2 linked regions of the Caenorhabditis elegans genome follow. The protein of the gene in region 1 purifies or fractionates together with the protein of each later gene. This does not show direct contact. Each region holds a gene or a part of one and is shown on either strand. Other genes may lie near its edges.

Region 1 (7,337 bases):
TGTCTTCCCCGGAAGCGATGCCCTCTGTGACTTGAAAATTCTTCATCGTCTCGTTGAATCGGTGCAAAACCAGCGGTACAACTGTGTGTGACCATGTCACAGGTTCCAAATTTGCAGTCTGAAGAATCGAAGCATCCTTGAACAGTTGCAGAGAAAATTGCAATCAAGAGAACAATCTGTAAAATAAAGTGAAAAATGGACAGAATAGTTTTAAAAAATCTTACCTGAAGAGATTTTGACCACATCTCTATTGAACAGAAAACGTTGTGTTGCTTTGTTGAAAGATGCTCAAGCCATTTATAGCAGCTGCCTAATTGAATTGAAATGTTTTATGACGATGGGAATGGGAATATTGTAATTTTGCAAAAACCCTGGAAGATGCAACTCTCGAAAATCAAACATGAAAAATCAATGGTCTTAGACACCTTCAAAATTGATACTCGCCAAAATCTACAATTTGAGCTTCCGTATGATTTTCGTATGATTTGATTTATACATTTTTTTGATAAGATATGAAAACGTTTATTAATCACTACCCGAGTAAAGGTAGATTAACATTGAATGGAATTAGACGATTGAAGTTGTTGAAGTTTTGCGACGGTGAGAACTGTGCGAGCTACTTTTTGAGGGTTTCTTTTTGAGATTATGTCCATCTGAGAGCACAATGTGGTCTGTAACAAAAAATTATAATATTTAATTTTCAGATTCAAATTTTTATAGGCTACCTCTGGAACTCCAATTTTTCTGCAATACTGTAGGAATCTATCGACGTTCATTTTGGATCGAGTAGTAGCAATTGACTAAAAATTGGTCCAAATTAGAAGTCACTAATTTTTAGTTAGAAAACGTTACCGAATCTGTTGAAGACGCAAGAGAGATTGATTCCGGATGAAGTTTATTTATGAATTTGCAAAGTTCTTGCCCGTCTGACAACTGCAAGCTGAAACTAATGTCACCCTTATTCAGGGAAAACGTTGGTCCCAGTTTTTCTCTCATCAACTTTCTTGCACTCTCCACGTCATTCGCTATACCAGTTGCAGGAGCGCGAAGTCCTGACTCTGAAAGTAGTTTTTTTGCGTGAATAACTAAGTACGGAAGTGAAAAGAGAAAAGTAGAATAACTTACTATTCAGGTTTGTCACACTTGAAGTGATCGGTTTGCTTGCAATTTTTTGAGCAGCTGGCTCTTCTGATCTACGAGAAATTGCGGATGCAATTTTGGTAGTTTTCACGGGGATTTCCTTTTTGACAGTTGCAGTGTTTGTGGATCTTGTGACAGTTGTACTCTGTATCGGATTGGGGCGACGAACAGTTCCAATTTTCTGAAAATGAATACTCATGAAAAAGGAGCACACTATTTAAAAGCTTACAGTTTGAACGTTCCCATTTGTAGCAATTGGGCGGGGTGTTGGTTTTGGCATAGGTGCCACTTTGGAAATGGGCTTTTTACCTGGAAAAAGCCAGAATAAAGTTGAATAAATAGCTGCCGTCAGTTTGATGGCAGACTGGCTCAACTTTGGAAAACCGTGTTTTGTATTTTATTTTTGAAACTTTGACGGTCTCTTGAAACGATTGTCAACGGACAAACAACTTTTTCTGAATTTTTTGTTGTATATTCAAAACACTTGTTGATATTTGCAAAAAGAGCCAAGTAGATTCTAAAGGTAAAGTAATAACGTGAAACACTAATACAGAAAATATGATACATGTATGCAGTATTCCTGCAAATAAGTGGGCTAGCGGTACTTCTGTAGTATACCTGACCAAAAAATATTTCTAATACATTTTCTAAGAACCTTTTGAAAATAATAAACTAATCGACACCTGGGATTCATTTGCGCCTGAGGCTTAGAAAAAAAAATCCTAAACATATTATGAACAACAAGGGTCACGTGAAATTTTACTGGACTAATTTTAGCAAACCAAAACCTACTTAAAGAAGAAAAAACTAACCCATTCCAGGACTCGACAAGCTGCTGCTGCTTAATTTGGATTTTTCGTTATCATTATTGTTATTATTGTTGTTGTTTTGCTCATCCGGAGTACTCTGCCGTAAATTCTCTTTTCCACCGTTGCTTGTTGGCAAATGAGATGGAACGGACGAAATCTTGTTTTGAACAATCTGTACATTATGGGATTTTGCATGTACGGAGGTGATTGTCCGGGACTCGACTAATTCCTGTAAACCAAAAACTCGAGTTATTCAAAAACTAAAGTGGCACTCGTGTTGGCTATTCTAGCAAGGAAAAATTACAAAACCGCAAATATCTCATGCATATTATCACTGCAGTTAGTCCATGGTTGAGTCAGTTAAAAATCAAACAAGTGGGTATAAATACTGACTAAGGGTGAGTTCCTGAAGAATATTAACACATAAAACAGATGAACAGGTTGTAAGTGGAAAATAAACCTTTCGATGGTTACTCGTCGGGAAGAAGACATTAGACATAGTCATAGAAACGTCGCGAGGACCAGAAAACAAAAGTTGTTGGGAGCGAATATTATAGTTTCGGTTAACAAAATGAAAGAAGCTGATATGCTGTCAACAAAAACACATGCAATAACTTACTTTCGGTCGATGATTAAGATTTCCGTTCACTGGTCGGTGGTCATGTTGAACATGTTTGACTGGTTCAGGAGGGTTACGCGTAGCCCTGCAAGCGATTAGTAAAGGAGTAGAAAATAGAAAAGGTCAGAGGATAGTGAAAATGACCATGGTAAATGAGAAATAGGAAAGGATGATTTGGAAGGTCCGGAAACCAATGTTATATTTACTATGAACAACTTGTAAAATTTTGCGCAAATGCCCAATTTTTGAAAATTATATAGGGAAGTTCGAAGAATTTTAGAAAAAACGGTATTGAATTTTAATTTGCTAAATTTTTGTAATTTCTAAAAAAAGAGTAACTGTTATGCAGTTTTTATTTTTATTTTTGGACAGTTTATTCTTACTTTTCTTCAAATTTAGGAGTAAGAGTGGGAATTTGTCTGAATTTGAAAAAATGCAAGAAGCAAACTTAATGTTTTGATTAAGCCATTTGAACGCAAATGAGTAGAAAATGAACAGTGAATAATTTTTGGGGAAATTATTAAGGCTAAATTAAATAAGTACCCGTTCTCTTAGATTATTTGCAGTCAAAATTGTAGAAATTCATTGCCATGAATGTTTGTTATTTTTTGTGTTCATTAAACCTTCACCCATACTCGTCAGAATTAATTATCCACCACCCGCAAAACCCATTACTCCTCTTCAAGCAGTGGCTAATTGAGATGTCAACCCGTTTCCACTACCCACTTCCCCGAATAATTACCTCGATTCGTTATGCGGTGGATGTTTTTCGGCGACAATTGTCGTCGATGCTGTCGTTGTGCGCTTTCGATCCAATAGAACATCATTTGAGCCATTTGATGTAGTTGAGCAAGCAGATGTTCTACCATCGAGCCACTTGAATATGTGCACGATGCCCTGAATATTGCCCATGTTAATTGAACCGCATAAATTCATGTTCACACAAAATGTGCGGTTTTTATCGCTTTTCGTTTCAGTTCAAAGGAGACACTTACCATTTCAATAATATCCATGGATGGGCTTCTTAATGGATTGCATTCTAGTTGCAGGTAACGGAGATCAGTCATTTTGACAAAGTCAGCCGGCAAGTATGATAAATTGTTATGCGAGAGATCCAAAGTGCGCAATTTCAGCGAAGAACACAATTCCGCTGGAAAATCCTCGACACGGTTTCTGGAGATTTTCAGAACTTCCAACGATGTCAGGTATCTCAGTTGTGATTGTAGACTTCGTATGTCGTTTTTAGAAAAGTCCTGGAATTTTAATTTTTAGACAGTTTGATTTAGTGAATTTTTAGTGGTTTTTTTACCAAATGTGCAAGCGTTGGAGCCAGACGTCGAATGCCTTCTGGGATGCATGTTATCTTATTGTTTGCAAGAATTAGAGCTTTGAGTGGAAGATCAAACAAACCATCCGGAAGATGAGAAATGTCATTGGAGCTGGAAGAAGTTGTGGAATTTAGTTTTGTAACTATTGTTTCTACCTAAAATCAATAAAAGTAAGTTGTTCGAGGGAGCATATACACGTAGGAATTGTTCGAAAACGGTTCGAGCTGGCAATGCATGAGATCAGGCAGTCGAAAGCTGAAAAGTCAGCTGGCAGTGTGGACATTCGGTTGTCGTGGAGGTCTGAAATACGTTGAAAATAAATATGAATAATGGGAATGGCATTCGTGCGAGGCTCGAGAAATAGGAATTTGCAAATACCTAAGCCCATTTTGGGCTCAACGGTAAAATTATCTGTTGGGAAGTTGGGCTCGGATGTGTCTGGAAAAGATCAACTTTTTGAATCATAAAAATTAATGTAGAAATATAGAAAATTATTTTCTTTATTAAAATTGAAAAGTTTGAAAAATATTTCAGTGAGCCGAAAAAATTTGTATGTCTTTTTTTTATCAGAAAATAACAATTTCTGGCACAATTTTCAAATATTTTATAAACATGTCAGCACAATTAAAAATTATTTTCGAATAAATAAAATATTTTTCTCTATTACTACAGCAATTTTCTTTTTGAATTTGCACTGACAATTTTTTAGCACTGACAATTTTTAGCACTGACAATTTTTAGCACTGACAATTTTTCGCACTGACAATTTTTTGCACTGACAATTTTTTGCACTGACAAATTTTTGCACTGACAAGTTATTGCACTGACAATTATTAATTGTTGTAGGGACGTGACAATGTCAGTGAAAAAGTCAAAATTTTAAAAATTAATTAAGATTTTTCAGTCATTTTATTCAAATTTTATCTACGAGATTAGCTCCTTTGGTCACTCAAATAAACCCGCTCTGAATAAATCTCACCAAGAAATACAGTGTCCAGAAGCGCAATATTCGAGAAAGCTTCAATCGGAAACTCAGAAAGCCTCAAGCCGTGAAGTAGGAGACGTCCCGAGTATTCAGCTTCCTTGAAACGTCCTCCAAGTGTCGATGTGTATGATGTTGTCTGAAAATGTTGGTTATAAGTCCCTTTATTTCATAAAAGTTACATAGTCGAGAAAAAATGCGTTTGGGAATCAGAATGATAGATAACACTTGCTTTGCTGCACTTTTTTCTCATCATTCATTTTGAAACAGGGGATTCCCTTTTTTCGCTCAGTCCTGGTATTTACTCCCGATATATGTTCAGTTATTTTTACATTTTTACACCCAACCTTGAAGCGAAAAACTGCGGAAAAACAAATTTGTGGTTGGATTTATGACTGGTCGTTTCCCAGCTTGTCACTAGTACAATATTACACTTGTTGAGAGAATGTGTCCACCACCGGCTAACAAGTGTTAGGAGAAAAAAGCAGATAAATAATTAGGCGCATTTTTTAGTGAAAAGAATTGACTAAACGTTTTCTCTATTTAGAAACATAAACATTTTCGAGACTCGGGAATGGAATGAAATAAATAATTGAAATAGGTCAATTAGAGACTCACTTGTCCAAAATGGATAGATCCCGTTGATGTAGTGGAGCGGCTTACAGACGGTTCAGACGAATCATGGTCCGATGTGGAGCGATGTTTGGAAACTGCCATTGCCTGATCGCTCGCATCGCTCTTTTTCTTTCGCTTACCCGTCCACGAAAATGTTAGCATTACCTGAAAAATCAATACATCTTGAAATAGTACAAAATTATTTGCATTCTAATCGGAAAACACTTTTGAAAAAAAAAACTGAAAATTCAAAAATTCAGAAAGCAGTGCCGCTTTGAGTGTTAGGTGGAACCATCAAAAACATGGGAAAAAAGACAACGGAAACAAGTCCTAGAACGGATATAAGAAAATGGCAGGTGTCGTTGACAATTGGAAAACCCATAAAGCATTTCAGCCTATAAATGGAGATGAAAATGCTCATGAAACCGAGGAGCACAAAAAAAAAATGAAAATCGAGCTCGATGTCGAGATCACAAAAGGATTAGGCCAACGAACATGAGGATTGACGGATTATGAGAGAAGAAGAGAGAAAGTGCGAAAAGAGGGAAAAATGATTGGATTTTATAAACAATTTAGTTTGCACTTGAATGTGCGAAGATAGTGAATGTAGCTAGAAAATAGAAGAATAAAAATCTAGATATTTGATATACTTTAGAACAGTTTGAGAAAAGTAAGAAAAAAAGCTTGCAAAATCAAAAGACCCCTATAATTTGAACGTCAGGAAGGCAGGAAGTGAGAAATGTGAAAAAGAAATCCTAATGGAAAATTTGAAATCGCCACTGGTATAGTACTCTTAAATACAAATAAAATCAAATACTGAGCCCAGCCCTGTTGCTGAAACAAAAGACGTGAAAGACGACTAAACTCACTAGTCAGCTTCAGAGTACATTAAAATATTGAAAAATATATATAGCAATACTTGTAGAAGTTCTCAAAATGTAAGTTGTTTTACATCAAAACTTTCATTTTTTGCAACATTTAGGCAAGATGTGTAAACTTTTAACAAATCTCCTAAAGAGACTCACTATAATTTGGTAAATGAAAAATAGAAACTGATAACATAAAAAAAGTGATTTCATATTCAAATTGAGAATGCGCGGGAAGGTTCTATGTGGAATGGTAACATAGAGAGTGATTGGCGACGAGGGCGAATGGACATCGACGAGTGAGAGCCAGTCATTTCTCTATTTCTCTCAGTATTCACCTCCCACTTGCCCCAAAACTCATTTGTCACAAAAATGGCACTGTTACCCGGCGGACAGAACCGAGAGAAAGCGCGTGGTCGGCGGAAAGTAAATGAACCAATTGAAGTAGACTCATTACAGTATCCAATAAAATGGTATGCTCACAAAACACTAACGATTAAAATCACAAACGATTAAAATTGAAAATGTCAGATTTGAAAAGGTGATTGAAGTCGGTGTGCTGAATCGTCTAGCAATCTGCCACCAAATTGATGGCTTAGCACTATATCTGACAGGTCATCATCATCTTCATCTTTCATCAGTTCAAAATGCACATCTTTTCCAATGTATTAACACAACCAAAAACTACTGAAATGTGACACTGGCGGGGTGCTCCACACAGCTTATTCGGTGGGAGAAGAGGAGGAGAGAAGAGGTCCCAACGAAAAAAAGAAAGTTTTCTGGGCCTTTTGCCCGCGCGGTGACGGAAGAAGCCAAGAGGAAGAGCGCGCGGCAAAAGGATGCGAAACATTTGAAATTAGATAATGGACTTTGTGTAAGACAAGCAAAGTGGTCAAGTTTGCAGAAATGTTGTGGTTCCAGTACGAAAACGCGGAATGAAGAGATAAAAATATAATCTTGGTAGAGGAAAGTATGAGA
Region 2 (5,241 bases), on another chromosome or scaffold:
TATCATTGTGAAAAAATTCAAAAAAATTTCCCTGATTTTATATTTGAGCTTGACATCGCAAATTTCATTTGCGTGCCCGTGAGATTTTTCAAATGCGCGCCCAAACGCATTATCATTGGAACGCACTTGCATAATTTGATTTTATCTAGACAATATCTATATTTGAAAAAAGAAACCGGGCACAAATGAAATTTGCGATTTGAAGCTCAAGTATGAAATCAGGAAAATTTTTTTGAATTTTTTTCACATAGATATTCGGAATTAAGGGAAAATTTGGAGTCAATTGAAAATATTTCCCAGATTTCGGTACTCCACCTTTAAGTTAACCAAATACTTTACCCAAGATGAGGGTCTCGCATTAAATGAGGCTCACGTCTAGACAAAGCTGAAAAATGGGAGTGGTTTTGCCGCTTCAACTGTACAATTAGATCTATAGGCAAAAAAAACTGAAAGTGACAACAGGCATTATAAATTCATTCAAGTTATGTGCGTAGAGGTTTAAAAAAAGTATTTCATGTATTCATATGAACTATCGGAACATGACTAGGAGCACTCGGAGCATTTTTAGTAGTGTGTCCGTCGGTGTAGTAAGAAGCGTTTCGGACGTCACTGACAACATGCTTCCTGCATAGGAATCTGTTTTTGATCCAGCGTAAATAATCTGAAACTTGGAAAATAACGTTTTCGGTCATAGAAAATCAATCATAAGGGCAACTAAATTTAAATTGCTCATCTTCAGAAATTTAAAAATTACGGGCAAATAAAAATTTAAATTGCTCATCTTCAGAAATTTATAAATTACGGGCAACACTAAATTTAAATTGCTCATCTTCAGAAATTTATAAATTACGGGCAACTCTAAATTTAAATTGCTCATCTTCAGAAATTTATAAATTACGGGAAACTCAAAATTTAAATTGCTCATCTTCAGAAATTTATAAATTACGGGCAACTCAAAATTTAAATTGCTCATCTTCAGAAATTTATAAATTACGGGAAACTCAAAATTTAAATTGCTCATTTTCAGAAATTTATAAATTACGGGAAACTCAAAATTTAAATTGCTTATCTTCAGAAATTTATAAATTACGGGCAACTCTAAATTTAATTTGCTCATTTTCAGAAATTTATAAATTACGGGAAACTCAAAATTTAAATTGCTCATTTTCAGAAATTTATAAATTACGGGCAACTCAAAATTTAAATTGCCCATCTTCAGAAATTTATAAATTACGGGCAACTCTAAATTTAATTTGCTCATTTTCAGAAATTTATAAATTACGGGCAACTCAAAATTTAAATTGCTCATCTTCAGAAATTTATAAATTACGGGAAACTCAAAATTTGAATTGCTCATCTTCAGAAATTTATAAATTACGGGCAACTCAAAATTTAAATTGCTCATTTTCAGAAATTTATAAATTACGGGAAAATCAAAATTTAAATTGCTCATCTTCAGAAATTTATAAATTACGGGCAACTCAAAATTTAAATTGCTCATCTTCAGAAATTTATAAATTACGGGAAACTCAAAATTTAAATTGCTCATCTTCAGAAATTTATAAATTACGGGAAACTCAAAATTTAAATTGCTCATCTTCAGAAATTTATAAATTACGGGCAACTCAAAATTTAAATTGCTCATTTTCAGAAATTTATAAATTACGGGAAAATCAAAATTTAAATTGCTCATCTTCAGAAATTTATAAATTACGGGCAACTCAAAATTTAAATTTTCCATCTTCAGAAATTTATAAATTACGGGCAACTCAAAATTTAAATTGCTCATCTTCAGAAATTTATAAATTACGGGAAACTCAAAATTTAAATTGCTTATCTTCAGAAATTTATAAATTACGGGCAACTCTAAATTTATATTGCTCATCTTCAAAAATTTATATTCATATTACGGGCAACTCTTACGGCAATCTATCAAAAGTTTGAAAAAAAATTGTTAATGAAGTTGGTATGAACAGATTTTTTAGAGGATTCAAAATTAAAAAAAATCAGTGTGTAAAAATGATAGAAAGTATCAAACTCACTCAGCAATGCTCTCCGGTAGTCTTTGATAATGAAAATATTGGGAAGCGGATCAATCGCTGGATACACTGCAATACTCATCACCGCCAAACCACTGATAACATCATCGTTTATATCAAAAATACACAGAATTAGTACAATTGTGAAGGGAAGTTGCATGAAAATCACTGGTATTAGGGTTTGAATCACCAGTGCGTAGAACAATTGGCGTTGGAGAGCATTACTTTTCGAAGATGCACTTTGCTTTACCATGTTCTGTATACAAAAGTAGCATTTAATTCCGAAGAAGAAAATTGCTAAAAACGATATGTTCTGAACCTTTTTGCAGTTTTCTTGTGAAGATTTTGATTTTCTCACCACAGTCATTACATTTAAGCCAAGACCAGCAGATGGTCCTACATTGAATTGTATAATGCCATTTTCGTTTTTCTGAAAAATCCTCGGGCCCAGATAAACAAACTCTGATTCTTTCAAGCCAAACGTGACATAAACGCTGTCTCTGAAAATTGAAAATTGCGTCTCAAACTTAATCATGAAGAAATTTACTTAATGAAGTTAGTAACTTCTTCTGTTGGCCGGCAAAAAAAGTAACCATCAAAAGACCAAATTGCTCCAAAACTTAAAGGAAGCAAGAACCAGATAACGATTTTCCAGGTGTTGAATGAGTTTGCTAACTGACTTCTGAACATATACAAAAATTAAGTTGATAACTTAAAAAATACTTACCCGCAGGCTGCCAAGTACCGATATATAAAGTGAACACCAAACATAGCGAGAGACATTCCGTAACAACCCCAATACATTGCATTAAATATGTTAAGTGTGAAATGGCTTAAATCACGATCTTTTGCACTGATAATTGCCAAATAGGTTGCGTATTGGGTATGGTGAAACTAAAATATAATTTGTTGATTGTAAAAGAACCAAAAAATATATCAAGAAATTTGTGATATTTTTCCCATTTTTTAACGTCGATTTGTACAATGATCTGTTGAATTTTTGAAATTAAAGTACAACTATATAAGAATTCAAACATTAAACAAATGACGCGAATTTAAAATGTTGAGATTTTAGTGTTGATGTTTCGATCTTGTATTTTAAGGTTTGGTAGTCTTTCGGAATGCTTTTTATTTATATTATAGAGTAAAATAACGTTTTTTCTATCGGTAAAAAATGTATATATATATATATATATATATATATATATTTTACAGAAAAACTACAATCTCGAAAATGAGCCGGAAGGGTTTGCTCCTCCAAAACATTACAACTCTTCAAAAAAAAAATTTCTATATACCCTTTATGGAGTTAAAATTGAAGCTTTGTCGCTTATACTTTTGAGCTGACATGTTATTTGGAAAAAATTTTCTCAAACACCTGAATAGTGCGCTCACCGGACTTGTTAACGCAACGACAATTCCGTAAAATATCTCGAAAAAAGAGAAGTATAACATTAAAAACTTGTAAGCTCCAATCTGCGTCGGCGACTTGTTCAAAATAAGATGTATTAAAAATATATTTGTTAAAATCGAAAAGGCAGCAGAAACCTGTTGAATATGAATCAAAAGTCTTCCCCATTTAAGACCGCTGAACATGCTTCCAGTATGAGAACACTAACAAATTTGCAAATTTCGTGCAGCCCACCGACTACAAAACCAACCGTGATTAATGAATAACATGGGAAATTTAGCTAACAATCAAGCGAAAAAAAGGAAAACAAGGAAATGAACTAGTTCAATTTCTAAATTTAGACGTTCTCCGAACAAGAAAGCTGTGTTCAGAATAAAAAATAACGAAAACTTTCAAAATAAAAAAAATCAAAATTGAATTATTTGAACTAAAAAAACATCAAATTATTTTGAAAATAACGTTAGAGTGAAACCCATAACAATAAAATAAAAAAATTCAATCTGAAAATCCAATTGGCACCATTGTTCTGATTGGTTCTGTCAATGGCTTCTGAAATTGAATTGTTTAGTTAAAAAGTACCAAAGTACTTCTTTACCACACTCATTTCCATCAAAAACAACGTTTGTCAAAAATAATTGATTCATAAGGAAAAGACAAGCAGTCGAGTTGAGAAAATCATTTCCATTCTCTTGAAATCCGATTTGATATCTGCTTGTGGAAAATACTCGCTGAAATTAAAATTGAGAAAAATGGAAGTTTTTCATTGTGCAAATACCTTCAAATTGGGTAAGCTGGCATTCTGTAGAAGCTTGTTTGAGCTTATTTGAAAAGGAACGGCAGAATCTGAATTAGCTGTGACTGCGTGGGAGGATTGGAAACATGAATCTCATACTTAAAAAACTGGGTAATAACTAAGAACCAAACTTAAAAAATGAGCGGTTAAATTTATTAAAGGTGGAGTAGCGCCAGTGGGAAAATTGTTAAAAACCACTCCTTTAGTCCCAAAATGACCAAATATAATGATAAAACTTTTCAAAAAATTTTTAAATTTTTTTTATTTATTGTCAAAAAGTGGTAATTACTCAGTTTTGTCGCTCATAATTTTGGATGTCGACCAAAAAAAAATTTTCTAATTTTTTTATGTTTTAATTTTGTTTAAATTGATTGTATTAAAACATTGTAGGGGTCGAAAAATGCGGCATATCTTTAAATTTCCGCAAAAGCTCGTATTTAAAAAATTTTTGGCAATTTGCCAAAACTTTGATCGGAAATTATGAAAAATCTAAATTTTTTTGGAGTGTTTTATTATGATATTCGGTTGTTTTGGATCATTATAAATGCATTTAGTCAAAATCCCCACTGGCGCTACTCCACCTTTAAAAAAATATATATTCAATGTTCTACCTACCATTCAAGCTTGCAACATATTCCAAACTCCCCAAAAACTCCAAGTTTGTCAAGTTCGTGTTCTCAATCCTTATTCCTCCATAGATATTTTTCACATTTCTCAGTTTTTCAACATATGCTTCATCTCCAGAGCCTATCGTTATTTTCCCTAATACATCGCTGCAATTGTTATCAAGTTTGCTCATTCCATCGAAAATACAATCGTCTTCGCCGTCCTCTTCCGTCACGTTTTGACAAATTTTCGCTTCAATTTTACTGAATATCACTTCATTTTTCAAGAAAAAGAGCATTTCGGAGGGCGTGAAACAAAAGTCGTCGTGAACTTTTTCCACGTTTATTATAAAGTTGTCTCTGGTTGTTTCGATAGTCTGAAAAATTTTATTG

The links. The genes of interacting proteins can lie anywhere in the genome.
Region 2: the proteins of lrch-1 (region 1) and str-222 fractionate together in Caenorhabditis elegans (co-fractionation; one large-scale study listed by BioGRID). This does not show direct contact.

What each region holds. Positions count from the first base shown.
Region 1 is NC_003284.9:6,208,254-6,215,590, forward strand, and holds lrch-1 (Calponin-homology (CH) domain-containing protein), read right to left. Parts: upstream 5,659-7,337; 5' UTR 5,596-5,658; coding exon 5,497-5,595; intron 5,018-5,496; coding exon 4,876-5,017; intron 4,197-4,875; coding exon 4,052-4,196; intron 4,008-4,051; coding exon 3,878-4,007; intron 3,822-3,877; coding exon 3,564-3,821; exon of another isoform or gene 3,502-3,563; intron 3,466-3,501; coding exon 3,311-3,465; intron 2,997-3,310; exon of another isoform or gene 2,875-2,996; intron 2,654-2,874; coding exon 2,569-2,653; intron 2,179-2,568; coding exon 1,953-2,178; intron 1,450-1,952; coding exon 1,370-1,449; intron 1,322-1,369; coding exon 1,126-1,321; intron 1,059-1,125; coding exon 853-1,058; intron 801-852; coding exon 726-800; intron 672-725; coding exon 552-671; 3' UTR 508-551; downstream 1-507. Other genes in the region: C14F11.7 (EB domain-containing protein), read right to left, coding at 1-176, 225-245.
Region 2 is NC_003283.11:1,634,553-1,639,793, reverse strand, and holds str-222 (Serpentine receptor class r-10), read right to left. Parts: upstream 3,636-5,241; coding exon 3,435-3,635; intron 2,934-3,434; coding exon 2,767-2,933; intron 2,722-2,766; coding exon 2,587-2,721; intron 2,540-2,586; coding exon 2,398-2,539; intron 2,353-2,397; coding exon 2,043-2,352; intron 662-2,042; coding exon 513-661; downstream 1-512. Other genes in the region: irld-17 (Receptor L-domain domain-containing protein), read right to left, coding at 3,911-3,999, 4,046-4,178, 4,226-4,293, 4,859-5,225.